Diceros bicornis minor: one gene and its partners. The protein of the gene in region 1 purifies or fractionates together with the protein of each later gene. This does not show direct contact. Links are inferred from orthologs where the notes say so. Each region holds a gene or a part of one and is shown on either strand. Other genes may lie near its edges. The genes, in order: PPP2R2C, PPP2R1B, IER5 and CCT4.

Region 1 (7,766 bases):
CCACGCCCCCACACTATCCTCAGCTGATTGGATCAAGTGGTAGACACACCCCTCTAGAAGCAGCCAATCACCAGGCTGCCCAGAGAGCTGAGCCAATCACGTTTCTCTCCCAGGAATCTGGGGTGGGAATGTGGGCGGTAGTGGGGGTGAGTTCAGCAAGTGTAAGGATTCCCAGGGGTTGCAGGGCAGGCAGGGGAGGCCAGGAGAAACACGTATAATCCTATAGAGCAGGGAATGGCAATTACAGCGATGCTTGTTAAGAATTCAGATTCCTTGGCCCTGCCATCAGGAAGTCTGGGTGAGGCCTGGGAATCTGTGTTTTAAACAAGTCCCTGAGTGCATCTGCTACCTGCGGTTTGCGGGTCACACTGTGACAAACCCCAAGGGCAAAGGATGCAGAGGGTGGTCAGAGGGGAGGGTGGAGCCTGGGGAGCAGACCAGGGGTGGCTGCCTTGGGTCCACTTCAGGGGGCCAGAGCCAGCTAAGGATGTCACTGTCTCAGGAGCCCCTAGAGGATCGCAGGGCACCCTCACCACAAAGTCCCCATCCAGTGTGGCCTCAGAGAGCTTTCTAGAAAACCGGCCAGTAGGTGCCAGGCACTCAGCTCACTAGCTTGGAGCAGACGGACCTGGAGCGCCCTTCCTGTCTTTCATTTGAGTCTGTTTGATGAAAGCTGTGTTTTTACCTCCCCCTGAAGCCTTCTCTGGTTTCAGGGGTCTGGGGGTATCTCTCAGGAAGCAGTTTAGAATGAGGAGCCAGCCTCATGTCACCATCTAAACCTGAAATGTGTCCCTCAGGTGCCCTAATTAAACAGAGGGCCCCAGCTCTGCACCTCTGCACCACTAGCACACCGGCAGGAGATGGACACACCTGCTTAGAATTGGGCTTCTGAGCCTCAGGACCACTGTCGGTGGAGCCCAAAGGCAGGAGCCCGCTAGCAGCCTCACGGAGCTAATGACACTGCATGTAAGCTGTAATTACACCAGCTCCGGAGCCAGCGCAGGGTGCCGGGAGCAGGCGGGCGTGCTTGTTCACGCAGGGCCTAATGATGCGTCCCATGTTCTACAAACCTCGGTGCATGATTTAATAAACCCTCTGCTCCGGGGGCGCTCTAGACACCCATTACGAAGGAGGAGACCCCAACCCGACTCGGGGCGCAGCAGCAGTGACTGAATAATTGGGGGTGTGCACTAGAAGGAGATTCAGTACTGGGAGAGGAGAGAGTTCATGCGCCAGCTACTGGGGTCTGGGGTTTGAGTTTGGATTTAGATGGAAGATAAAATATCAAAAGGATAATGGGGGGGCATGCCGGGGGACAGGTACTGTGTGGTGCAGTGGCAGGAATGTGCCAAGCATGTGACGGAAGGGGCCATTGAGGGGGCCATTCTGGCTGGTGTGTGGGCGGGGCCTGGTTGAGCATAAGGCAGCATGGCATATCAGAGTCAGACAGATGAGAACGAAGCCCACTCTGCCACTTACCACCAAGTCTGGGCAAGTCACCCTTTTTCAGAAACACTTATGCAGGATCAAAGTCCTTCACATACACTGATCATTTGATCCTCACAACAGCCCTGTAGAGTTGGGACTATTATTACTCTCATTTTAATGCTGAGGCAACTGAGGGTCAGAGAGGGCAAGTAAGACACCCATAGTCACAGAGCCAGGAAGCGGTGGGGCCGGGATTCCAGCCCAGGCTATCTGTGCCTACCTCCAGCACCAGTGTGAATATTAGCGCTGATGGTGTGATGCTCCCGGCACAGGGCCTGGCACACAGCAAGGAGGATCCCCTTTCAACCTTCCTCCCATCATTCCTCATGCGTGCCCTGCTCCACACAAATTATGGTTCTCCCTAAACCAACCACGCTCTTGTAAGTTTTCAAATTTGTGTCTCTTCTCCACCTGGAGTTTTTAACAGTCCTCTATCCCAGTGGCTCTGCCACTTACCTTGGGTACTTAATATTCATGGTGCCTCAGTTTCTTCATCTGGGAAATGGGGAACAATCAAGGGGCTGTTTAGGGGATTAAATGAGTTAATAGTTGAAAATGACTTAGATCAGTGCCTGCCAAACAGTAAGCACTATTTAAGTATCTGTTAAATATAATGCAAGTCGCTGATTCTCTTCTTTCCCTTAGTCCTTCCTGCTGGTAGGGTTGGGGGTGGCAGGCCCTTCCTATAGCAGACTGGGGAGACCAGACTTGGGGTTGGGCCACACACACCAGCCCAGCTCAGTGAAGGAGCTCTCGGGGGTCCAGGCCAATAATAAATCAATAAGGACCATGGCAGCCAGCGCTGACGAGCACCTACGTGCCAGGCCCCGTCTGGGTGCACTACTCACCTGCTGTACCTCCTTTAAGCCCCACTGCACCCTATGAAGTAAGTGTTAAATGAACTCCCCCATTTTACAGATCAGGAAACTGAGGTGTAGGGGGTTTAGGTGACTTTTCCAATGTCACACATTTGTGACTCAGCAAGGGGTGTGCTCACAAGGATGAGGGTGCCCACCACAGCCGTCTACTTTGGACAGTGCCATGAGGACCATGGCAGACGATGGTCTGAGCTGCTGTGTGCTGGGGAGATGGGTTCAATCACAGACACATTATTTTGGGGAACAGAGACAAACCAAGTGCATTCTGAGCAGAGCACTCGGGCAGAAGGGATCCCAAACCCCATTCCAAAAGCACCCTTAAGGAAATGTGGGATGTTTAACCAGGAGAAAACAAGACTCAAGGAAGACAAGGCTTGTTGTCCTCAGCTCTCTGGTGGGTTCTTGTGGCTAAGAGGGAGCTGACTTGGTCTGTGTGGCACCAGAGGCAAAACCAGTCTGGTGGGTGGGAACTCAGGGAGGTAACTCAGCTCAGCTTATGGATGAACCTACCAGTCAAAGCTGAAGGTAGAATGTAGGGAGGTGGTGAGCTCCCTGTCACTGGAGGTGTGCAAAGAGAAGGTGCAGGTTCCCTTGTAGGAAATGCTGTGGAGGGAAACAGAAGCATCATTCAGGCGTCAGGTTTCCTCTGGCCCTGAGGTTCTAGGAGCGGGTGTGCAACCTGAGCGTAAGCTCCTCAGAGCAGGTTCCACTCCCAGCTCCGCCTCTCCCAGGCCCCGTGCCCAGTGCCGAGCGCACAGAAGGAGCCGGGTAAATCTTCACTGGATGAGGTCGTAAAAAAGCTACCTTGGATAAAAGATCAGTTTTAATGACATCATCATAATAAAAAACACATTCTCCTAACGACTTCAGAAGCTGATAATTATCTGCCAGTCAAAAGCAGCGAGGAGGAGGCGACGGGTCGGAACGGAATATTTACTTACAAACAACGTGCCCGGCATCGCACTAAATGTTGTCATTGCTCATCTTCCTGACCCCTCAAAATAACCTACCCGGTAGGTGGTGGTGGCCCACTTTACAGGTAAGGAAGATGAGGCCCAGGGGCCACCTGCCTACTGTGACAGTGACTGGCACCTTTGCACCTTCGTTGATACGCCCCCAGGCACACAGCAGGCGCTCCTTAGATGCCGCTGTGTGCTTGAACAAAAATGAAGGAACGCCCAAGGAGCACAAGCCTCCAGCATGATCAGGACTCGATCAGGACTCGAGCGACCTGGGAGCTTCAAAGGTAGCACCTAGTGCTTCTGTGCACGTGGCACTTAACAATTGTGGGTCTTCTCTTCCGCATCTGACAGCACCCTCATTTAAAGCTCTACGTTGGAAAGTTGGGCCAAGTACCAAAGATGATTCCAACAGTCACAGCCCCTGCCTGTGGGACTGACACACAATCATTTCTTAAAGATTTCCTGCTATTTCTCCCAGAGAATAAACAGGGAACACACATACATACACTCACACACATACACACTCCATTAGCTTAAGCTGAACCCCCCGTTTATTCAGCCACTTGGGCTCCACGCCAGGGCCTTCTGACATGAGGACCTGCCCAATTTTGTCACTGATGAAGCACCATGGGTGACGCAGAACAATCCATCTCAGCCGTAACTGAATGTGCCCGGGAGATGCTGCGGCGTGTGCGTCCGGTAGGCCGCGAGTATCTGTCTTGGTGTGGTCATCAGAGCCAGGACCTGACCTCACTGGGTGGGGAGACCCTGGCTGCCTTCTGACCCATGCAAGCGCACGAGCCTTCTTTCCAGTCACGACAGCAGGAGCTGATTCAGGTCTCCACTGTGGCTGGTGCACGACCCACATGTTTATATTTACACACCCCAACAATCCTCTTGTCAGCAAGGGGAGAAACTGAGGCCCTGAGAAGTGAGCAACTGGCCCGAGATCACAACTAGCAAGTGGGCAGAGCTGGGTTCCCACCCAGCACCGGCCAGCTCCCAACACACCACCATCCCTGAAGCCCCTGCTCACGCCCTCCTCTTCCTCCTGGGGGTTTCCTCTTCCTCCACCCTGGGCCCAACACTGCTTCCTTAGGCTCCCTGCATCAGATCAGAGAATCCTCACTCGCAGCTCTGCGGTCAGTGCTATGTTGCCAGTCAATGGCCAGAAACAGATCAGTGAGCCCCAAATCTATAGAACTATGCTCTGGACAACAATACAAATTGTGTGTGTGCTTGTGTGTGCATGCATGGCTGTGTAGCAAGGGTTTTAACAGATAAATAAATATTCAAAGAAACAAAATACTGCCTAGCATTTCTGCTCCGGGCTAGATCTAGACCTGGCTTGAGCTGGTTAAGTTACTCAGCTGGAGGCAGGGCAGGCTGAAGATTTATTCAGGAGAGCTCTGCATGATTTTCTACCCGTATGAAAAGAGCTAGTTATCCAAAGACCTGAGCTACGTGTGCGAGTGCTCTGTCCGTGTGCACAGTGGGAATTCTGGTGGAAATTAACATGAGCCTTCCCATATGCAGGGGGCTGTGTTCTCCACGGGGGTGAGGGCAGGCAGACAGAAAGCAGGAGGCCGTGCGGGAGCACCAGGCAAAAGCAGCAATCCCTTTTGTCTTCAAGGAAGGCACAGGCATTAATATCGACCCGTCACTTGGGAAACACTTTACAGTTTACACAGAGAGCCAGTATCCGCCTCTCATTTCACCAGTTCCTAGAGCCTTGCAAGATGGGCAGGTGGGGAAGCCGAGCTCAGAGAAGCAAGAGGGAAGGGAAGGGAACTCTTGGTGAGCTCCTAATGAGTCCCCGAGGCCCTGTGCTGGGTGTTACCTAAAACGAGGCACTGCGGTGTGGAGGGAAGAACAGGGAGTGGAGACCCCAGTGGAAACTGCTACTCCTTCACGCCTTCCTGGCTGCGCAACCTCAGGCCAGTCACCTCACCCCTCTGAGCCTCAGGGGCCTCATCTGAAAGCACCTCTCTCCCAGGGCTGTTTGTAGATGCTCAGTACGTGCTCTTCACTTCCTTAGCAGTCCGCTCCCCTTGACACTGAGCTAAGGGTCACTCTCCCAGTGGTCGCAGGAACCATGTCACTCGTACTGATGGGACGGGGTGGTGACAGCAATGGATGCAGGTATCTGGGGGGACAGGACCATGGAATGCCAGGACAATGGGCAGAGCCCTGTCCTCTCGCAGAGTTGGTAGATCACAGCCCTGCTCCCTTCGTCCACATGGTCGAGGACTGGCCGAGTTGCCCTCGCTCAGAGGTGAACATCCCAGGCGCCTTCCAACAGGCCCAAACTGGCCAGTGCCAGCGGGCCACCATTACAGCCTGATGGGGGCTCAGAGCCCCTCTAAAACCACCAATGACACGTCTCAAGGTCAGATTTAAACTTCCAGCTGTTTAAATCCATTTGCATTTGGCAGACGCCCAGTATCTTACTTTAAAGGCAAATTTGTGCCTGCTTTACTGTTTTCTGCTTAAAAAAAAATACAACTCGATATGCTTGCCCAGCCCGAGGCTCACGTGTCTGGGCCACGGTGACAGTGACACTTGGGAGAACACCTTTATACCCCGAATCCTGTGCAGAGGCCAGGCAGCTGCCAAGGGCTTTGAAGAGTTTTAGACACACAGTGGGGCACCTGAAGGTCATCCAGTCCAACCCTCTTTCCACAGCCCCCCAAGCAGACCTCCAGCCAAGACTCTCAGACCTCCCATGATGGGGAACTCACTACCTCCTTGCACAACCCATTCCAGTTGAAGGTAGCAGTGGTGGTGGGAACATCCTTCCTCCAGGTCTTCCCCCTACTGGGTCTGCCAGCTGGGCCCACACAGAGCGTCCAGCTCCTGTATCCACAGGACAAGTGATAAGGACCCCAGGTCCCATTTTTGTTCCAATCCCTGCTTGTCACACTGGGTCTTTCTATTTGGATTTCTCACCAGCAGTTTAGACACATGTCTAGGACTGAGCCCACCACTTTCCGAAACAACCCCACTCCTCCACCACCTCTGCCAGCAGCCCAGCCTTCAAGCTGGAGTCAGCTCCACACCCGCTCCCACCCCTCTCAGGACGTACACTGACAAGGAGACTGCAATCCTTAGGCTACCTGTGCGCCCAGGCCTGGGCTCGGTGCTCATACGACAGCCCCACAGCAGGGAGTTTCCCCCATTTCATGGATGAGAAAACTGAAGTTCAGAGAGGTCATACAACTTGACAAAGCCACACAGCTACCAAGAATGGGAGCCAGCACTCAAATCCAGGTCTGATTCCACTGCCCAGCGAAAATGCCACAGGCAATCCAGCAGTGCAGTCCCTTCTGTCATCTTGATGTCCCTTGTCATGCTCCTCTGGGACCCCCCAACCTCTGCGCAGCTTAGCACTCACCACTGTCTTACCCACCCCAACCCCCTCCAGCCTGAGCTTTCCCAGACCAGCTGCTATCTCCAGGACGCAGCGGGAGGAGCCCTGGCTGAGCCAGCACCTGGTCCAGGCTTCTCTCTTGCCATGCTCCCTCCCCTCCCCCACCTTTGCTCCAGTCACCCTGACCCACTGCCCGGGCCCGGGCTGCCACTACGCCCTCTGACTACACAGACGCCAAGAGGCAGAGCTGGACTCTGAATCCAGATCCTTCTGTTTCTCAAGATTTTGGCTCCCACCACTGAACCACACTGTCACCAGCCCACAGGATGGCTGAGACCATTTGACAGGGTTGGGGGAGTGGAGAAGACACTTCTTCCAGACTCTTGCTGTGTCCTTCCACGGGAAGGCACGCTCCTGTGTACATTCTTGGCCTCTCCCCTTCTTGAGCGGGAGTGTGGCTGGCTCTGGTGCATCTGGAAGGAGGGGTGGGCATGAGGAGCCCAGCCCCTCCTCTCCCCTTCCTCCTGGGAGTCAGTGCCCACTGGGAGCCTGCTCTATTCTGCTGCTGCACACCTGCCAGAGTCCAGAGATGGGGGTTACACCAGACAAATTCTGAAGTTAAGTATTAGGAAGCCCATTTGGCCAACACATCTAAGCCAGGTCCTCCAGTGTCCACAACATGGTGCTAGAAGGTGCTACTCTGCCTCTCCATGCTGCCTCCTTTGGCCAACACCTCCATGGGGCCAGACTCTGGGCTCCGGGCACCCTGTGAGGACACCATAAAGGATGAGCAGGGGGAGGGAGAAGTGAAAAGGGACGAGGGTGAAGTGGTGGTGGTGATGCTGCTTCAGAGAAAACAAGAAGCAGCTAGAGCTCCCAGGTGCACAGACCAGACTTGCACGTGGCCGCTCCTCTGGGTTACACTAATCAACGGCGTAGCCCTTCCCCCGGTTTCACTGCCTGCTGACCCAGGCTCTGGGCCTCGGGAAGCTTCTGATAAGAAGCACCACCGTTCCTGGGGCTCCCGGCGCCCCTCCCTCCCTGTGGCCTCCGTTTGGCCCTCCCGGA
Region 2 (7,241 bases), on another chromosome or scaffold:
TAAGGCAATAATAAGCTTGGTTTATTCAAAGAACAGAAAGACGATCACTGTGAATGGAATGAGGTTATCAAGAGGGAACACGATATGAGATAAGCTCACAGAGGCAGGTTTTGTAAACTAAGATACAAGCTAAGGCAGAAATGTGGATTTTCTAAGAGCCATGGCAGGGAGTGATCCATCTGCTGGGTGAAGAGTGAACTGTAGGGGTGAGGTGGGAGGCAAGAGGGGAAAGCAACTAGTTAGGAAGTTACTGTAGTAATCTAGAGGAAAGATCATGTGGCCTGGAAAGACTAGAGGAAAGATGAGCCAGCTAATAGTAGGGATGGAGGAAAGTGGACTGATTTGGAATGTATATAGAATCTGTAGAAGTTACTAATGGATTAGATGTGGGAAATGAGGGAAGGAAGATTCAAGAATGTCGTCTAGGTTTTGGCTTGTGCAACTGGGTAGACGGTGATGCCATTTACTGAGATGGGACAACTAAATGAAAGGCATAATTTTGGGGAGAAAATTGAGATCTGTTTTAGGCATGTTAAATTTGAAATGTCTGTTTGACATCCTAGTGGAAAAATCATAGGCAGATATATAGAGACAACAGATAGATATCTATATCTCTCTTTCTATAGCTATATCTGAAGTTCCATGGAAAGGTAGAGATAAAATCACAAGAGTCAGCATGATATACACAGTATTTAAGCCCTGAAGCATACATGCCTATCTTCTGCAACTATCCAAATTCCTAGTCATCCTTCAAAACCTAGTTCAGACATCATCTCCCATGAGGTCATCCCTGATCACCCTAGGTTAACTCTTTCTCTTCTCCATTACTTGAGTACCTTGTATGTGCTTTCATTTTTCCATCTAACACTGTACGTAATTATTTGTTGACAAATATGGACAGAGACCTCATTCCATTCACATTAGTCTTCTTTAACATTAACACTGTAACTTCAGTGCCTGATATAGTAGGCTCTCAATAAATGTCAACTAAATTGAAGTGAACTCATCAAATTCACAAAGTAAGCCAGAAGCAAACGTTATGCTTACGATCAAAGACAAAAAGCTAACAAACATTTCCAAAGTCATGACACTGCTAGATGAGAATTAAGATTTCCAATTTCAAGAGAAAAAAAAATAAACAAAACCAATCAAATCCTTTTTCTCCCAACCTCTAAACTAACAAATAAGTCTACAGAGGCAGAAAAGAGGAAGTTCTTATATTCATAGTCAGAAAAAATAAGAAAGGGTTGAGTCCAAAGTACCTACATTATTTGTTCTCTCAATAGCTAACACTGCGACTATCCATAAAAAGATCTGCATAAAAAAATGCTGCAGTGTGTCTACCACCAAACAATGTATCATTTATACTGCAAAAGTTCTAGAAGGAGGGCAGGCAGAATATACTCACCAGCAAACAGTGGGCAAAGTCAGGACCTCCCACCAGGCCAGTGAAACTTCCCAGCTGCTCTGCAAGAGCTAACAGTACCTCATCTTCATCATAAATTGTATCTGGAAATGACAACAACCCAATACTCATCAACAAGGATAGCTGGCCCAGAACTGGACACTCACATAAAACTAGGAAGAGACATGAAGAGACTTAATATGTAACTCGACGGTCCTGTCACAATCCTTTAACAGTCTTTTCTTCCTTCTCAATCAAGAGTCGTCTTAGATCTGTTTTACAGAATGAATTAGAAATTCATAATCCCATTATCAACAATTACTTTACTATTAGCTAAACAGTTAATGTTTGAATATGTCTGGCCACAATATTACAATATGCCCTGTCCTGTTCTCTTTTGCCCCAAAAGCATCAGGCTCAGTTTAGCACTTAATAATACTGGGGGTAACAAATGCTAAAAAATACTCAAAATTTTGAAAGCCACTGGAAAACAGAAATGCCCATGCCTTTCTTTAAACAAAGATTCACATACCTGTAAGGAATGGCAGCAGTTCAGTTCGCGTCCTTTCTACTCCAAGTGCTAGAGCAATTGTTGATAACTTCTTAATACTGTTGAGACGGAGCTTTAAAAAAGAAAGTGGAAAGAAGAACGAAGTAAAGAAATAGTTGTGATTTAGACCAAAAGACAAAAGTTGCCAACAGGTGAGATGGCGTACGAGTAAGAATGAGGAAAACCTTCAGTTTAGATTTTATTCTATGAGGAACGTCAGGAGCAGCGTAACACGGCTTCATTAGGAAGATGTCCTAGTAGAAACACTCTGAAGGCCCCATTAGAGAAATGAATGAAAGAGAATACAACATCCAGGGAGTGAGACATTTTAGAAAGGGAACTCTGGCAGTGGTGAAGCAGGAAACGGTTGAATACAACTCCCGCCTTTTCAAAGAAAAGTTCGCCCAAAGCTGCCACACCGACTCCTCTAGGTTCATCAGCCACCCCACCCTCTTTCTACCCCACGATCCCGGCCGGTTTGCAAGCCCAGAGGAAGGCATTCATTCACCCGCACTTCAAAGGGCCCCTTGGCGCCGCTGCCGGCTGCTCAGCCCCTCGCGGCCCCGCGCCGCCCTCCCTGCGGCCGCTCGTCGACAAGGACGGCCGGCCCAGCGCTCGACGCGGCGCTCCCACCGCACGGCCCGGAAGGGCGCCCAGGCGGGAGGCCGGTTCTCCCACAACCGCCTGGACCGGTGGGACGCCGGGCAGACGCCTCAGGAGGTCGGGAGGAAGGGTGCTGGAGAGCTCCCCGGGAAGGTCGCGCCGAGGCACCACAGCCCCTCAAGGGTCGCTCCCCTCCTCCCCTTCAACTTTCAGCTCGGAGCCCGCCTCTTTCCATCCCCCGGCCACCCCCACCGCGGCGCCGGCCTTCCCGCCTCCCTCCCACGCGCCTGGCTGGGCCGCCTTCGCTCCCCGACCCGAGGCCAGTACCTGCACGTCCTCATTGCGGAGCTCGTCGATTAAAACCGCGATCGGGTATAGCGAATCGTCTCCATCTCCGCCCGCTGCCCCGGGGCCGAGCCCAGGGCCCGCGGCGCCCGCCATGTTCTTTCTCCTCCGCCTGGTTGCTGCCTCCGGCCCCGCGCCCAGGCCCCGCCCCGCGCCCAGGCCCCGCCCCGCGCCCAGGCAGGCGGAGCTAATGCCCGCGCTCCTTCTCCGCCAAGGTGGAGGACCTGGATGTCTGCCGGGCTGGTGAAGGCCCTCGCCCGGTCCCCCTTGGGGGAGCTGTAGCTCTAAACACCAGAAGAAGGGTGGGCTAAGAAACCGAATGGAGCCCCTGCGTCCTTTCCCCAGCCAAAAGAAACAGGGGCAAGGATTCATCCTGTTCGTGGTGCTCTGAAGGGGTCAGGGACCTACTTGAGTGATCCGTGCTGTGTCCTCTTAGGATTCCGGCGGACCAAAGAGGATGCCCAAGGCTAGGAGGAAAAAAGATTTAGCGCCTCCCCTCACTTCATCCTGGCCCTGAGCCAGTGGGTCTCCAGCTCTAATTTCCCCACTAGCCTCAGGCTTCCACAGAACCCCTCCACCTCTTCCTTCGGCCTGTGCGCCAGAATTGTATCTGGCTCCTGCTGCATAAGACAAATAACGCGGGCGGTGAGAGAAAATGAACAGTGCTGTCCAAACTCCCCAGTCAATATTTTTTCCGCCTTCTCCATGCAAGCTGTTAAAAACATGCTGCTCTCTTGTTTTTGTGTTTCTTTTCAGTTTGGTACTGGAATGGTGCCTTCTGTTGTATTTTCTTCCTCCCATTTTTTAGATCTTTAGCATGCTAGAAGTACAACAATCAAGCAAAACTAGGACAAGCTTTAATCCTTCCAAATTGAGTGGAGTGGCTACTTTGCTTGTACAAGAAAGGCTAAACTGGCCTCCCTAGAACTCCAAGAGTCCTGAAAGGCAGCAGTGGGAGGATGTGAGGGTATGGGAGTTCTTTCTTAAAAAACTTAATGGAAAGTTTTCATTTACCCTTGTTAGGGCAGCAGAGAATTACTAGAATGTCCTGTCTTTTTGTTTGTTTTGGACTATAAGCAGCTTAGACTGATACCTATATATGGTGATCACAAGCTTTGAAATGGTAGTTCTATGTCTGATTAATAAAAATGTAAAATTATTAATAAATGCAATTTAGGAGACTTTTTCTTTAAAACATAGGGTTCCTGGAAGTAAATACAGTAGATAGGGCATATGATAGTAGTGGAAGTTTGGGAGTGAATGGACCTGAACAGTATTTCTCAAATTAGGTCTATGGATGTATTCTCTAGGGTTTTAATTTTGTTTTCATTTTGATAATATTTTTTAGATTTGCATAAGCATATACTGGATTATTTGGGTGACCACTTCATAACCTGGTATTGCCACGTGATTTCAGTACCTACATTTGCACGTGTGTTTCAATTCTGCTTTTATTGTTTGGGGATAATGAGAAACGAACAGAGGTGGATTTAAAATGAAAATGGTGTTTTCATGCACAAAATGAAAGCCAAAAGACATCATGGGGGCCAGCTCGGTGGCATAGTGTTTAAGTTCATGTGCTCTGCTTCGGCAGCCTGGGGTTCGAGGGTTCAGATCCCAGGTGCAGACCCACCCACTGCTCATCAAGCGATACTGTGGCAGTGACCCACATACAAAATAGAGGAAGACTGGCACAGATGTTAGTTCAGTGACAATCTTCCTGAAGCAAAAAGAGGAAAATTGGCAACAGATGTCAGCTCAGGGCCAATCTTCCTCACCAAAAAAAAAAAAAAGACATCATGGGACTGCACTGTTGCAGTAGTTCTAACAGAAAAGTGGTGAGAAAATTGAGATGTCAGAGGTCACTTGGTGGCATAGGCATGTTGAACTCAAAAGACGTTGATCTTTCACAAGCAATACCATAGTCACAATACAAGGGATAATTTAGTCTAAGCAAAACATCAATTGTCATGTTAAATTACTATATTAATATGCATAGTATTAGTTTTGTGGTTTCATATGTATTTAATATGTAAATCTTTTTTGGTTTTTTAGTTGTATAAGAACTATAAATAAAAGAACATTATATTCCTACTTTATATTTATAAATTTAAGTAACATTGTAATAAAAATTTAATTGACAGAGTTTTCAAGATTTTTTTTTCCTTTAGAAATGGATCCAAATACTACTCAAGTTTGAGAAACAGAGGGCTGAGAGGTTTTTTGATTTAGTACTTTACCAGTACTAAACAAGTAGATCAGAGGGGGTTCCTATTGGCATGGAGAGGAGAAATCTGTTTCCTTATACTTTATGTAAAAAGTCTTCAGAAATGATAAAGGAAGCAAATGCAGAGAGAAGCACATTAAGTCAATTCCAGACATACCATCATCTAGATATTAGCTTAAGCTTAGACAACCCTCCATCTGCTAAACAGAAATTAGCACATGGATTGATGCTAAGCTATTTTGTTTAAAACTCAAGTACGCTTTGCTTACTCAAGCACAATGAATTGGACACCTAAAGAATAACTATGATTAAATACGAAATCACAAGCTGAGAAAATAGGCCCCAGAAAATTGCCTGGTTTTAGAGTCATCAATTCTGGACTTCAATTCCCACCTCTGTCTCTGACTCATTGTGACATACCTCTCCCTATGCCTCAATCCTGCTTCTCACCCCCTCATCTCCAATAAAATGGAGCTAACCCCCTCTGGTTCCCTCTCTGGTTACTGTGATGATGTGAGAATGAAACAGGTAGTAAACATGGAGATGCTAATAAATCCTTCAATAAAGAAAGTGATTAAAACAGAGTGAAGCAGAAAGAGGCTATTTCAAAAATTGGGCCACATGGAAACTAGAACAAAATGTAAGACAGTCTTTTGGAGAGTGTGGTCCACTGACTATCTGAATCACATAAGTTGCTTGTTTAAAAATGCAGATTCCTCTATGTCAATTATTTCTCAGTAAAACTGGGGGAAAAATGTGCATTCCTGGCCTCCACCCTAGATTTACTGAATCAGAATCCCTGAGAACGGGGCAGGACATTTTACCGTGCACCCCTGGTGGTTCTAATGTGCAATGACGTTCGAAAGACATTGATTTAAAAAGTTCATCTGGAAAAATAAGTACCATATCAACAAGCATCTGCTCAAGGAGAGTCTGAAAAGAGTATCTGGAAGCCACCTCAGTCCAGAAAAAGCAAATGATAGCTACAACTGCTTATCAATAAGCAATTCTATCCCTATTGGCTGTGGTTTTTGCCAGATTAAGACGATCCCTCTTTTGCTGGATTCCTGGAAGTCAGCTAGGCACTACAAATACAGAACTGTGTCACTGAGCTGTTTCCATATGCTCTCTTCCTCTCTATTGCGCCCTCTGGTCTCCTGTCCACATCCCACACACACAAGAAACTAATGACCAGGGAGCACCAGAGGGAATGGCTGAGATAATGCTGAGGATTTGAAGCAACACTCAGGAAACAATGTGACATTCTCAACACTGAGTTCTGATACCCACATACAGTTCACTCACCCAGTGAATCAAGGGAAGACAGGGTTAGATTTGCCCAGGTCCTGTCAGATGAAGCATCAAGAATATGGAGCAGCACAGGCAGATGGGATCGATAGCCATCAACTCTTGTGTTTCTAACAGCTCTCAATGTCACAACAGAAGAGGGTCAGTCCTGAGGAAGCCTGAATGACGTCATTGTGCTCTCTGACCTCTCACCTCACATGTACTAAGCTTGCCTCTTCCTCACAGTCCACAGAGCTTTACAAACAGGCGCTCATTCCAGGACTGATCTGCTCCAGAGTCACCCCACTGGGAGAGAAGGCCAAGTGCAGCAGAGAGACCTATATGTAGGTCGTTCTCTCAGGGCAGACCCAGCAGTGCCGACCCATTGAAAAGGCCATCAGGAAAGTGGTGGATGGCCCAGTTCTTGTACAGAAAACCTGAGGTACATGCAGGCATTTTCCAGCTTTCTTCATTTAGCAAGCTGACCCTGGTAAACAGATTCCCAGGTCTGCACTTAATTCATTGCAAATTAGTAATTATCATTATAGTGTTAATGATATTTTGAATTTATGTTTATACAAAGAATATCCTCATTCTGCGGGTCTCAAATATTCCCCCCTCAACTTCACCTCAATATTTTTACTTTCTTTCTCTTCTCTGCTTTTTGGCAAAATTTTAAACCCATTTTCATGGCTGGGAATACTTGACAAAGAGAAAAAGACTTTACCTGGAGTCACACAGTCAATCAGAAGAAGCTATGGAACTCATAATCAGGGATTATCACTACTCTTTGCTTCATCCCTACCTTCATGCCATAGCTTATC
Region 3 (6,696 bases), on another chromosome or scaffold:
TGGAATGCAGAGGTGGACCTGACCAGCTGGGCAAATCAGTCTCACCTTCCCTCATATGTCAGATTTTTTTCAATAAGAAAGCTGAAAAATGACCTATGTTATATAGTTTAACAGAAAACGTAGTTTTAGAGAAAACAATTTTTGTGGCTGGGAACCATTTTTGTGGCTTCAAAAGTTAGCACTTAAGTTATTTAACACTAGACACCATCAGATTGGGCTGTAGAAAACCAAACTGGTCTAAATTGACTTGAGAAAAGACAGTTGTAGTAGCAGGTCTCAAGAAACTGGCAGGGCACTGATATTAGTATCTAAAAGCAGTCCCCTGATCTGGGGGGAGAAACCTTAAATGTGTTTCTCTTGATACTTAGTGAAGTCAGCAAACAATGTCCCCAGTCTGTGCATGACTGATATTAAAAACCACACCTTCAATTTTCCAGCCCAGACCATAGATCTCCCTCCTGTTTCCCTCCCAGCCCAGACAGGTGATTACACACAAGGAGGCAGTGAAGTTCCTTCAAAATATTTAATACGTGTTAGACACGTAAAGTTACATTTTTATACAAAAATCAATACAACGGAGAAAATAACTGTACAAAAACCTTGTCAGCTCCCCCAACCTTTATACAACAAAGACTGGAGTCACCATATATACAAACCCAGAAGGTCATTCCACTTAGGGCTTCTGTCTGTAAACTTTGTTTCATTAAACACTTTTTAAAAGCACTGTGTAGTAGTTCTGATCTAGAGCTTTTGAAAATATATCTCTTCTCTATAAACTCCATATTTCCAAGCTTGAACTTTCCTGTGAAGTTTATCAAGCTTTTTTTCCCTGTGGGGAAGACATGGGCCGCTAACATTCCCCTTTCCCAGAGTAATCACAGGGTACAGACGTTTCTTCAGTCAGAGAGAAAGGTGGGCAGGGAGAGAAAAGGACACAAGTCTCTACTCCAGACTAAATCCCTCTAGATTTAGGAAATCCTGGGAGGAAACGCCACTCCTGGCCCGGGTGCGGTTCTGGCTTTCATGTAAGGGGTGTGTGTAAAGTCCCTTCCTCCCCCGAGAACGAATGGGGAACTCCCCGGCCCCGGCCCTTTTAGCCGCTTCCTTCTCGGTGCTGCCGGCAGAGGAAAGTCCCTGTCGCCCCCAACCTCCTGAGCCCCGGGGCAAGGGCGACGCATTCCAGAAGGACAAAATAGTCTTAATTCAACAAGACAAACTGACACACACATACACAGACACAAAAGTTAACGATCGTCCTCTTCCAATAAGCCTCACGCCCCCGAGTCCCCGCAGGGCCGCCGAGGCCGAGGGCAGTGAGTCCGTGCTGCCCAGCAGCACCCACAGTCTCCGCACCGCGCCCGGCGCCTTCGTCTCTGCGGCGGCCTCGCAGCCGGGAGAGGCCCAGCCCTCACGTCGGAGTCGCCCGCTGCTCAACCTGCTTCCCGCACGGGGCCCCCGGGCTCAGAAGGCCACGATGGCTGTGCTCCACGGGTTCATGTCTCTCAGCACCGCCTTGTCGCAGCAGATCTGCCCGGGCTCGGCGGCTTCCGGGCCGCTCTCCTCTCCCTCGGCTTCCTCCCGGCCGCCCCCGGGGCTTTTCCGTAAGAGTCCCGAGAAGCTGGAACCGAAGATGCTAATGAGGTTGGCCACGTTACCGGTCTCCATCTCCTCCTCCTCCTCCGCCGCCGCCCCGGCCGGCTGCTCCTCCAAGTGCCGCCGGGGCTTCTTCAGCGGGCTCGCGCCGAGCGCCTGGCAGCCCGCGGGGCCGCCGCCCACCCCCGCCGCGCCGCGCTTCCTGGGGCCGACGGCGGGCGGCGCGGAGCGCTCGTCCTCGGCGGGCCGCGGCGCGCAGCGGCAGTCCACGCGGGGCGGCGCGCTCAGCGCCCCCAGCGGGTCCTCCCCTCCCGCGGGGCAGCCGCAGGGGCGGCGCGCCGCCCGGGGCCCCTCGGGACAGAGGTCCGCGACCACGGCGGGGCTCCCGGCTCCCCCGGCCGCCGCCTCGCGCGGGCCCTCCACGCGGCGCCAAGCAGCTTCCGCCTCTCCGCCCTGAAGACTGTCCCCGGCGCCCGGCGCCGCGGCCGCAGGCTCCGCGTCACCCGCCCGCGGCGCGTCCGGGACAGCGGGGCGCTCCGGCGGCGTCTCCGTCTCGGGCCAGGCGGCGCCGGCGGCCGGCGGGGGCGGCTCCCCCCAGCCCGCGGGTGGCCCGGCCGCCGGCTCCCCGGGCTGCGGCGGCGCCGGGGACCCCGCCAGGTAGAGGCCGGGGCACGGGTCGCTCAGGTAGACCTGGCGGGCGCTGCGCAGCACCAGCGAGACCAGCAGGTTCTTGTGCAGCTTGATGCCGCCGCGCTGGCCCCGCGAGTTGTAGATCTTGCCCAGGGAGATGCTGACGATGCGGTGAGCCTCCAGCTTGAACTCCATCCTGCCTCCCTCACGGGCTGGCGCGGAGGTGAGGGGCGAGCCCTGGCGCACGTTCGGAAGCTGGGAGGGGACGAGAGGCGTCCACAAGTCGGCCCGGGGGTAGACCCTCGGAACAGCAGACTAAAGAAAAACGACTCACGGTGACGCGCTCACGGCCGCCCGCGTCCCGACCACAACACACAAAAACCCAGCTTCGGATCCGGTCGCTAACTGAGGGCAGCCGCGCCGCCCCACGCCTTATATAGGCCGCTCGCCCGCCAATCGCGGAGGGCCGCCAACCGTTCCGGGCCGGCCGGCGCGCCCTCGTGCGCCTCGCGCGGCCAATCGGAGACCGAGGAGGGCCGCCAGGGCAGTTCGAACATCAGTCCCGCGGAGCAGGCTCTTAAAGGGGGCGACGGTGTGTGGGGTGGCAGGTGGGTTGGGACTTGTGGTCAGAAGGCAGGTGATGGGGAGGGAGCGTAGCCACAGTGTTGTTCGTAGTTAAATTTTGTGGCTTGTGTGCTGGCTTGCTGGAACCAAAGAGAACTAAATCATTCGAACTTTCATCCTAGTATGGTGGTGGACTTTGCTCCGGAGTAAAGTCCCCATCCTTCCCTGATCAGCCCGCTCCCCTCCCCCGCCACCATGTCCAAAGCTGCACACACCTGTAAGCTCCTGGCCAATCCTGGCTTAAACGGAGATGATGGCAAAACGCGGCAAAGGATACCGCTGGATAACAAATGGTATTACTACAAAATATTTAGCAGATATTAATTTTGGATGAATCCCTTGCCCCCTTGAGTCACACACACTCTTAGCATCTGTCAATTCTTTTTTTTTTTTTTGTGAGGAAGATCAGCCCTAAGCTAACATCCATGCTAATCCTCTTCTTTTTGCTGAGGAAGACCAGCTCTGAGCTAACATCCATTGCCAATCCTCCTCCTTTTTTCTCCCCAAAACCCCAGCAGATAGCTTATGTCATAGTTGCACATCCTTCTAGTTGCTGTTAGTGGGACATGGCCTCAGCATGGCCAGAGAAGCAGTGTGTCGGGTGTGCGCCTGGGAACCAAACCCTGGCCGCCAGTAGCAGAACGTGCGCACTTAACCGCTAAGCCACAGGCCGGCCCAGCATCTGTCAATTCTAACCCCGAAGAAAGAAAAAGGGGGTTCTAAAAGTTCCTAAGTTTTTGGCTGCTAATCTGTCTAGATACAAAGGAATTGTGTCTAGGTACAAAGTTATTGGTTCTTCACTAAAGCCAGCATCTATTTTGTTTTCTAGATTCTAGAACAAACACAGTTGTTATGCACGTTACAATGAGACGAAAAATGAATTGTGGTTCACCACAATGCTTTTTTTTTTTTCAACATGAGGCCTGACCAGTCCACCCTTGGAAAAATCTAGCCAAGTTCTAAAAATACAAATAGAGAAGTCCTGTGTTCCCATCATAATGTCATAATTTTATTTTGTGTCAAGGTAAAAATATAGGGGAAGAGTGTTCCAGAATTTTCTGGTCAGTTAATGACATCGTCCATCTACTGATCCTTAGTACATGGCATTAGGGGAGAATCACTGCAGGGTTGTCCAGAGTCCTGGACTGGGCTCCTGGAGAGTGAGTTCGAGTTAGTCTCACCTAAGCTCCACCACAGACCTGCCTGTTGACTCTGGGTGAATAACCTCAGGCACGTTAGTTTCTCCAATTCTAAAAGGGAGAAATCACATACACGTCTCCTCTGTTATGCAGAAGATAAATGAAAACTCTCAGCCACAATCTGAATCATAAAGCTAAGCATAGGTTTCTTGGAGTCCATGTGAAACAGTTGGCCTGATCCTGCACCAGGGTTTGGCCAAGTGGTGTATTTAGTTAGGAGAAATACTAGTGAAAGGTGGGCTTGGTTATGGCCAATTCACAATCAGGAGGCCTCCAAAGGATGATGGCTCAGTAACATTACCTAGGCCCGAAACTCACTGATAGTAACTGAGACACCAGTCCATGAGACCCAGAGTCCCTCCTCTCTAGGAATTTCCAGCTAGTATAAAGGAGATAAACTAACAACATGAACAATTCCAAAAGCAAGACATATATTTTGAGTAATAACATGACAAAATTTTTCTTCTATTTTCTCTTTCTTTGAGAGCTATTAGTCACTATAAAACACTGATTAAGAGCATAGGCTCTGAAGACAAGCTTCCTGAGTTGGAATCCCAACTCCACTTTTTACTTGCTGTGTGACCTTTGGAAAGTTATTTCACCTCTCTGTGCCTAGGTCTTTTTCATCTTAAAATAGAGATAATAATAGTGCCTACCTCTTAGAGTTTTTGTAAGGATAAAACAAGGTAACATATGTAAAGGTCTTAGAAGAGCCTGGCGTAATAATAATAAGCTATCCACGTATGTTAGTTATTAGAACACTTCACCCCACACATGACCTGCGGGTGGGAGGAGAGGCTGGGGAGGGAAGGAACACAGATGAGAGAAAGAACTTGTATGTGAGGAGGGCGTTGAAAAACCCTGATGTAGGATCCACAAGTTCCAAGCAGCAGGAGTGACAGAGTCCAGTATAGGGAACATCTCATTTGACAGGTGTGTCAGGCGCCTGTAGTAAGTAGAAAAGGCTGGAAACAGAGGCTGTGGCTACATGATAGTGGGTCATGTGTGTCTCATTGAGGAGATGGGGCCACAGGGAGCTACTAAAGGTTGTTGAGTAAGGGAACCACAGAATGGATTCTAGAACAGTTGGTACACTTAATTTCACTTAATTATAGAGGACCACTTAATTATAAAGCTCTTGTGAGAGTTTAGGCAAAGGGTCATGAAGGCCTGAACTAGGTGGAGGTAGCAAGAATGAAAAAACTGAGACAAAAGGAAATTTAGTGATGATCCGGGATGCCCCCACCCCTAAACAGGTCCTGGTAGAGCAGGCCTTTGGTGAAGCCTTTCCGACCCACCTGGCCTGGGCGCTTCACATCCTCCGCTGTACGAAGTACACTCCTTCATCATTGCCCTCATCACTTTCTCCTGTCATGCCAGGGCCCCTCCCAAACTGTGCTCTCATCAAACGCAGGAACCCATCAGAAATTTATAGCCAGAAGATAGTGAAAATATTTAACAAATGTGCAACACAGGCACTAACCATCAGAACAGAGTCCTGGTGGCCCTTATAGTGCCAGGGTTTATGGGGCCTCCTGCAGGAGGGGCTGGATGACCAGGAAGGGGGCCACTCAAGGGGCCTGGGGCAGAGGCTCTGCCAACCAGCGTGGAAGCATTTCAATATTTTAACAACTGGGGTGGCCATACCAGTGCATACTGAGCGATTATGCACTTGGATTCATGAATCGCTAATAATGATACTGTCTACCCGGCACTGTGCTAGTCACTGTACAGGCATGATTTATCCTCCTTATAAAGTTCAGAAAGTAGATGTCATTATCTCTGTTTACAGATGAGGAAGCTACGACTCTGAAAGGTTGAGTAATTTTCCCAAAGTCATACAGCTGTGGGTGGAGAGAGTGGGCTTCAACCGCCAACTATTTACTTGTAAAGCTTGAGTGGGCGCTCTAGGGCTAGATTACCTTGTTCCACCTCTTACTTGCTGTGTGACCTTTGGGAATTTATTTCACATTTAGGGGAAATGAGAATATCATGTCCCACTTTTGTAACATGGGCTAGTTATTTAACCCTTCTGTGCCTCGGTGATCTATTGTGCAAAAGGAGAATAAAAATACCTATAGCGATTAATACAGTCCTAGCACCATACAAGCACTTACTAAGTCTAGTTATTGTTATTGTTATTATACCAGTGCCTAGCTCAGTACCAAGCATGTAGTAGGAACACTGTTAGTCCTCATTGAATTTTGAATGCTTTTTCTACTGCCACGTGATAGGTGCCCAATAAATGTCTGCTGACTTGAAATTGAGCACGATCACTGTTATTGTCAGGATTTCCTCTAATCCTGAGACAACAAAATGGAACCTTGAGAACTCATCTCTGGAGTTCCTGGGCTCTTATGATCAGCAAGCTTCACCTCCACCTGCCAAAAAAAAAGTGGGAAGATATAGAACATATTCTTCTAAGCTTTAGAAAGCAGGAAACTGAGTTAGAACTTGCCTTCATCAATCTTTGAGATTTTTCTCAGTTAAAAACAAATTGGTAGGGCCGGCCCCGTGGCTTAGTGGTTAAGTGTGCGCGCCCCGCTACTGACGGCCCGGGTTCGGATCCCGGACGCGCACCGAGGCACCGCTTCTCCGGCCATGCTGAGGCTGCATCCCACATACAGCAACTAGAAGGATGTGCAACTAT
Region 4 (7,448 bases), on another chromosome or scaffold:
TTAAACTCACTATACGTAATACTTGTGTTCCGCCTATGGCAGAATAAATTTTAAGGATTTACCTAATCTTCCTTTAAACATCAAAATGGTACAATCTAGTTATGTGCTAATTGAGGACTATTTTTTTCTCCATTCCTTAAAACAAAACAAGCAGACCTCCTAACATACTATATAATTCACTTATTTGTTTACTCTCTGTCTCCTCTAACTACAGAGCATAATTTCTGAGGGTAAAGACTTTTGTTTGCTATTGTGAAGCTAGAATATGGATAGCCCAAGTAAAAAAATACCCTTTGACCCCAGAACAAAAACCCAAGCCCCACCAAAAAAAAAAAACACCCCAAACAAACAAAAGACCCAAACCTTAACTAAAAAACAAAAACTAAAATCATAGCTTTTGGTCATCATTAGTACGTTATGAAACATCTCTGGATATACAGTCTACCATTCCAAAGTTACTTATTCTTATTACTTGTCCATGAGAATATTTCTATTTTATTAATCCATTTGTTTTCTTAGAGAAATTGGAATTGACGAACAGTACTTGATCCCCTTGTCTTTGACAAATCCAGGACAAATGATTAAATCTTCCCCTTTCGCACATACCATCTCACCCCATCTACAGAGGCCTGAGATTGTGCCCCAGTTTTGTATACTCCACAACTACCACAATGCTTCCCTCCATATTGTGTGAACAATAATACACAATCTTAAAGAGCTTAAGAGAAAATACCTGGTATAATTTAAAAATTATTTTCTACTTAATTATTTCATAATTTGGGGCTTCTGTTCCTAATTATCAAGTCAATTTTACCCTTTCAAGCGATTTTAGTTGACCTCCATGACGATTATCCTATAAACAGACCGATTCATTTTAGAATGCCCTTCTATTCATCTATGTGAAGACTCTAGAATAACACACTATTCAAAAAATAAGATTTCAGACAGCTTACATCTCTGAAGGTGTCTGAAGTTTAGCATACTGTGTGGATGACTCATGCTGAAGAGTACTAGAACTACTACTACTTTCATGTGTGTGGTCTTTCAAAGCATCAACCAATGGGATTATCTTTTTGGTAACATAAAAAAAAAAAACCTGGCTCCCCAAATTAAACTAAACATGCACCTGGCAGCAGCTTTTCTCAATTTGTAGGGTTTTGTCCGACTTGGAAAGACTAGTCGTGCCCCTTTGCTCTATGAGTTCCCCTCACTTAAGATATAGAGCCAAGTTCCTAGACAATTTAGGTGACATTTCGTTCCTACATGCATACCTCTCTTGCCCAGTCTCAATTCTCTGTGCACTGCTGTTTCAAAGGTTACTACAGTAAACCTCCTATTCTGTATCTTCCTTCTTCGTTGACAATCTACTGTATTATCTAGCTCTTCTGACCCTCCACGCGCCCCAGAATTTATCTGACATCTAATGTAATCAATCTAAGCTTCAATTACACTCCCTAGACAACTATCTACCAAATTTTATTTCCAGGTATACATTCTCTCCTGAACTTTCAAATGACTCCTAAATCTACCCATCTGGTCACTCAGACCTCTCCAACTCATTCGGCCCAAACCACAACCTCTTCTCTCTTCTTCCAGCATCCTTCCTCCAGTGTACCTACTTCTTTTAGCATCACCATCACGCGCGCAGTGACTTGGGCCGATGGCCTCAAATACCTGTAAGGCTGTACTTTATATCCGTGGCTCTTTATGTGCTTTCTTCTTTAATCCTCACAGCAAGCGTACAGGTTAGCTCTTACCTCATTACGACGAAGAACAGCTGTAGTGCAGGAGCTACGCCAAACCCTTTCCAGGACACCAGGCCCTTCAAGATTTGGCCCCATTCCACCTTTCCAATCTCACCTCTCATTTCTTCGTGCACTTTATTCTCTCACCGAAAGAAATACTCACTGTACTCAAGACACACCACGGGCAAGATCTCTAAGCCTTTGTTCTCACTTTTCCTTCCAGACTCTTCTATCTCAACCAGACTTCTCTTAATCCTCACAACTCTAAGAGAAGCGAACATTTTCCTCCTCAATTTTACACATAACGAAAGCTTGGCTAGAGATTAAAGGTCACAAAAGCCACGAAATAATGTAAATAGAATGCAACTCAGGTCGTCTTAATTTCCACCAAGAGCCGAACACTGTTCTTCAAAAAAGGTAAACTGTCCCTATGTCTCGATTTGCTGGTGTTCGGTTGCACACGCAGAGAGGACACAAAAGCACAGTGTAGCTTTTTATAATTATTCTCAAACGAGTTGGGTAAGTCGGTTCCCCACACCCCGGTACAACGGGCCCCGCCACAATTGAAGCGCGGAGAGTTTACCAGATTCGCTTCAATAGCTGCGCCGAGAAAAGCTTACTTAAATGATATTTTTGTAAGAAGAAAACTGGAAAGTACTGTGCAAACAACATTCTACTAGTGGACCTAGTCAGCAGATAAGCGACAGCTCTTAAGTGTCAGATCCCAAGGGACCGCCGCACGCGGGCCTCGGCCGCTTTCTGCTGAAGTGTGATAAATGGTGCACAACCCAGGATGGAAAATGATGGCCGTCTAAGACCCAGACTGGGGCAAGTCCAAAGGCCTCCATACTTGGGGTCTGGAATTCTCCGCAAAAAACAGAAAGAAGGGTCCCTTCACAGAGCTGCTTCTACGGGAGGACAAGAAGGGATCACCTAGAACAGAAAATGAGCCGTGCGGAGCGCGACCCCGCAGGGCCGCGGGGAAAGCCCGGGAGGCGATACCTTTGGCCGCGGAGATGTTGCTGAAGCGGATCTGGGCCGGCTTATCGCGGTCCTGATAGGCGCTTTTCCCGCGGCCGCCGGCAGTCCCGGCGGGCGCCCCGCTTCGGGGTGCCACGTTCTCGGGCATGGCAAGCTTTGCGGGGTCTGCGCGGACCCAGGAAGGACGGATGGACTCGGATTCCGGCTCGGCGCAGACTAACAGTGGGCGTCCCCCACCTTCACGAATCTTCCAGAAAACGGAGCCGGCGCCGGGAGGAGGAGGTTGAGAAAGGGGCCTGCCTGGCGGCGCGGCGCCGGCATGACGTCACAGGCTGCCCCCTGCGCGCCGGGTGAAGCGACTGCGTCGGGGAGCTCGGGACTCGCAGGGGATGTTGCGCAGGGCGCAGGGGGTCGGGGGCGCGGTGGGGCTGACTCACACGAGGCAGAAAGGACAACCCGCGATTGTAAAGGCAGGAGTTGGGACACCCACATCTCCCCACCCCACTCCCTGGCCATGAGGTCCCTTCCGTTAAGTCAAGCTAGACCTGTCCGCGAGGTGGTGTCCGTACCCAGATTGCTCCCGAATGGTTGGGGCTGAGCCGGTTTTTGTGGGGCTGCATAGAGCTGTTTTTAATTCACTTTTATTCATTGTGAAAGGGGGGTCGAAAGAGAGATTTGGGAGGGCTGGCTGCTTTCCTTTGCTTTAAGGGTTGGCGTTGGTTGTCTCGTATTGATTAATACTGGGTAGTAGAGATTTAAATATACACTGGTTGAATACCACAGTCTTAAAAGTTTTGCAGCTATGATTGCCTGCCAAATCGGGACTGTCTGGTTAGTACAGCTTCCTCGTTTTACACTAGTTTGTTCTACCTAACGTAGCCATTGACTCTTAGGAAACCTAAGTATTTTAATAAACGATCATTTAGTTCAGTTATGCGCTAGGCGCAGTGCTAAACCCTTTACACGTTTTATCTCAATTCTCACAACAAGCCTATGAAACAGTTGCCTTTATATTTTTTTAGTAGATAAAGGAGCCGCAGCAGAAAGAGAACTGAAGCCCAATGTACCAGTAAGTAGATGGAAGCAGTATTCCAGTACAGAGCAATGACTTCAGAGGTCATGAGCTAAACTGCTGGGCTCTTATTACCACTGTATTTTAATATGGAAGTTTATGCAGGTGAGGTTCATTCAGTATTCATTCACAAATAATTATTAAGCACCCATAAAGTAACAGATGCCTGGATAGGTACAGGAACAGTTGTTCCAAGTACTTAATCCTGTGATCCTGAGGAGCGTTTATAGCATTCAGTGTATTAGCGCTAGAAGATGAGGCTTCCTAGGTGCTCTGCCATCCGTAAGCCTCTGGGACTGACTTCAAAGGACCAGATTACTTCTATCTTGGCCTATGAACATTCTATAGTTATTTAAGACAACCGATGTGGTATGATGGTGTTTTGAGAGGTTTGGTGGATTTGATTGGAGGCGTAAAGGAACTTTTCAACACAGACGAGTGGACTGAGTGTATACTTTAGTATATAGGGAAGAGTAAAGGTAAAGGCAGCAAACAGATTATATAGGGAAGGGTAAGGACAAAGGCAGCAAACAGATCCGAATAGGTCAAATAATAAGAGGGAAAAACATCAGGTCGATCGAAAAGGGAAACATCAGATCGACCGAGATAGAAACAGATCCGAATAGGTCAAATAACAAGATCCGATTGATCGAAAAGGGAAACATCAGACCGACCGAGGGGAAATAACATCAGATTAATTGAAAAGAGAAGCATCAGATCGGGTACTTAACAACATCTACGCCGCGTGGGGGAGAGTCCCTTGAATTGACACGGCTTGGCGGGAGTTCTGATCAACAGTGGTCCTGGGCAAGGCGTCCCCCCCACAGGCGAGATTCTCGCCCAAGCAGAATTGTGAGTTGCTTTTATGCATGTTTTCATTTAGAGACCATCTCTATGGGAACATTTGGTTTTTTGTTTTTTGTTTTTTTTCTTTTTTTTGCTGTTATGAGGTGTGTATGTGCACTGCAACTCCTGGTACTTATCCCTGACCGACACAGATGGCCAGTCTGTGTCTGTCCTTGACATCCCAGGAGTTTTATAACCTAAATAGTTGTAGCTAGTATTGTGGGAGAAAGGCCGGTTTCCATCACAAGCAGCTGCTCTGTATTTTTTAGTGTGGCTGGTTTCCTAGGGTCACCAAGCGGACAAACATGGCAACACTTATGTTGTCATCTTGGCCGTGGCCACTTGGTTATCCGTAAGAAACCAGCCGCATGGACAGTGAACTTTATACACAGCTACACATAAAACATCCTGTGATTACAAGGTCGATGCATAAGACAAATAGAAAGCAATCAGAACAAATAGATCCCATATGCCAGGGTAACCACTTAAACAATTTTTTGGAATAAGAAATGTTATCAATTTGATTTTGTAAGTCATTGATTATAGAATTTAAAGTAGAGGTTTTATTAGTAACATTAAAGCAACATATTTTTGGTATTTGAATACATGAAAATTTATGTAATAGGAAAAGGTAATCTAGCGCTGCTGGCTGCTTGTTGAATCAATGTTTCCCTTTATAACTCTTGTAATTTTTTTAGAAATAGTAAATAAAGCTCTAACAGTGTCATTCATAATATGAGTGAGTAAACAGGACAGATGTTTAATTTGTTTGTGATTATTTACAATTAATTTTGGATCGAGTAACAACAGGGTAGCTAATATTGTCACTGTGGATATTGGTAATAAGTTGACATGTGGATCATAATCTGGAGTTAAAGTTTTCTTATATCGAACTCTTTCTTTGGGATATGTAGCAAGCAGGGGTATTATTACTCCTACTCCACAAGTCATTGAAGTATTTTTTGGAACATATCAATAGACTTGATCACCGCATAGCCAAAATAGTTTTGTAGGAAAAGTTACAGATGTGGCGCAAGGGGTTACAGTATGATTACAATAGGTAGGGATATAAGTGCAATTAAGGGAATAACAAGTGGTACTGGTAGTACTAGAAATAGGAATTGAGGATAGGGAGAATGAAGTACTGGCGTTAACAGATGAAGTAAAAGTATGGCTATGGGGTAGACCTAATCCTAGCAAGTTAGCTTGGAGTAAACTGGGAGGATCATTATTATTGCGCAAGCAGAAAGAGGTAACATTAAGAACATTGTTAGCCAAATGAAGCCAAATATTAGAGTTACCTAGAGTGTTGGTGGCATTTGGTAAAATGCTGAGAAAAGCAGTATTGTTTATATATGGAGAGTTAGGTTTCCCTTTTTTTTTACTCAATGTATGAATAAAATCTTCCACTTCATAAAGTGGAAGCAGGTAAAAGGATGGAATAATTTGTATTTTGTCTGTGTGACTGGTCAGAAATGTTATGATATGACGAGGTGAAAATCAGCCTTTGTGACCAAATAGTCTGTTTATTTAATGTCCAAGTTACAGGTCCAACTGGCGTGAAGCAGTCTGTCTAGCACTGCAACAGCAGTGGTTGTCCAACCATGACGTTCAATGGCATAGCAGTCCGAAGAAAACAGGAGGTGCTCATTGTGGCAGCAATCAGCAAGCTGATTAACAGTACCTATTCACATAAAGAAACAGCATTTTTAGGAACATGATATAGATTATTGTTTTTGGGGTATATAACAATTAGGGTGGCTGTGGTTCTTTGTGCTATGATTTTGGCCGCTTGGGAAGCAGTATGCGGAGGGTGTGTAACTCAAACTGGCTCTAGGTTTTCAACCATATGTTGAGTTGAAGCCTTGTAATTTTTGGGGGGGGATAAAATTGAGGGAGGGCTCCCCCTTTTTATTTGTGGTGTTATTAGGGGAAGGATAAGTAGTTGTCCAATTTTGTCTTCTTTTTGTAACCTAGTTAAAGGTGTGTCATTAGGTCCTATAGGCCTATTGTTTAAAATATGCAAAGCAGCGTTTAAATGTGCATACCAGTTTTGTAAAGAATTTTTACTTAATTTGTGTAGCTGTTGTTTTAACAATTTATTTATTTTTTTAATTAGACCAGCAGTTTGGGGTTAGTAAGGAATATGATATATCCATTTAATATAATTTTTTTTTGGCATAGGTTTGTATTCACTTACCTGTAAAGTGGGAACCGTTGTCACTCTGAATTTGTCTTGGTGTTTTATAGTACAACTTAATTGTATTTAATAATTTTATGGCACTCTGCTGGGTGTCTGCTTTAGTCGGCATAGCTAATAAATAGCCGGAATATGTGTCAACAGCAGTGTAGACGTAAATATAGCCACAAGAATTTGGCAATGGTCCAATAAAATCTATTTGTCATGTATGGGTGGGAAATAATCCCTTTTGGATATGACCTTGGTAGGGGTGTGGAACTCCCCATTTAACTATTGGCATATTGACATTGTTGTACTGCAGTGGCAATATTATCATGGGTGATAAGGATTCTCCTTTGTTGTGCCCACCTGTATGAAGCTTGTTCTCCCAAGTGTCCACTCTTTTCATGGATCCATTGTGTTAAGTCTGGGTTGTGTGTTGCACGAATTTGCACCAGCTGATCAGCATAAGAGTTATATTTTTGTTCTGTAGAAATTAAAGAACTGTGAGCATCAACATGAAATACAGTAATAATTGTGTTTTGGCACCATAATTATATGTTTTTTTATAATTTTTTTAGTGAGACATAATGTTTATTTTTATAATGAATTTATAATACAATTA

The links.
Region 2: the proteins of PPP2R2C (region 1) and PPP2R1B purify together in Homo sapiens (affinity purification with mass spectrometry; 4 studies listed by BioGRID and IntAct, counting the BioPlex papers as one, with this or other methods). This does not show direct contact. The link is inferred for Diceros bicornis minor from reciprocal best matches to the Homo sapiens genes PPP2R2C and PPP2R1B.
Region 3: the proteins of PPP2R2C (region 1) and IER5 purify together in Homo sapiens (affinity purification with mass spectrometry; 3 studies listed by BioGRID and IntAct, counting the BioPlex papers as one, with this or other methods). This does not show direct contact. The link is inferred for Diceros bicornis minor from reciprocal best matches to the Homo sapiens genes PPP2R2C and IER5.
Region 4: the proteins of PPP2R2C (region 1) and CCT4 purify together in Homo sapiens (affinity purification with mass spectrometry; 3 studies listed by BioGRID and IntAct, with this or other methods). This does not show direct contact. The link is inferred for Diceros bicornis minor from reciprocal best matches to the Homo sapiens genes PPP2R2C and CCT4.

Annotation. Positions count from the first base shown.
Region 1 is NC_080747.1:5,388,421-5,396,186, reverse strand, and holds the start of PPP2R2C (protein phosphatase 2, regulatory subunit B, gamma), read right to left. Parts: upstream 3,023-7,766; 5' UTR 2,995-3,022; coding exon 2,877-2,994; intron 1-2,876. UniProt on the Homo sapiens protein: The B regulatory subunit might modulate substrate selectivity and catalytic activity, and might also direct the localization of the catalytic enzyme to a particular subcellular compartment.
Region 2 is NC_080746.1:24,465,732-24,472,972, reverse strand, and holds the start of PPP2R1B (serine/threonine-protein phosphatase 2A 65 kDa regulatory subunit A beta isoform), read right to left. Parts: upstream 3,018-7,241; 5' UTR 3,000-3,017; coding exon 2,886-2,999; intron 2,029-2,885; coding exon 1,938-2,028; intron 1,510-1,937; coding exon 1,409-1,509; intron 1-1,408. UniProt on the Homo sapiens protein: The PR65 subunit of protein phosphatase 2A serves as a scaffolding molecule to coordinate the assembly of the catalytic subunit and a variable regulatory B subunit.
Region 3 is NC_080743.1:86,109,373-86,116,068, forward strand, and holds IER5 (immediate early response gene 5 protein), read right to left. Parts: upstream 2,614-6,696; 5' UTR 2,419-2,613; coding exon 1,462-2,418; 3' UTR 509-1,461; downstream 1-508. UniProt on the Homo sapiens protein: Plays a role as a transcription factor. Mediates positive transcriptional regulation of several chaperone genes during the heat shock response in a HSF1-dependent manner. Mediates negative transcriptional regulation of CDC25B expression.
Region 4 is NC_080751.1:25,445,745-25,453,192, reverse strand, and holds the start of CCT4 (T-complex protein 1 subunit delta), read right to left. Parts: upstream 3,002-7,448; 5' UTR 2,875-3,001; coding exon 2,748-2,874; intron 1-2,747. UniProt on the Homo sapiens protein: Component of the chaperonin-containing T-complex (TRiC), a molecular chaperone complex that assists the folding of actin, tubulin and other proteins upon ATP hydrolysis.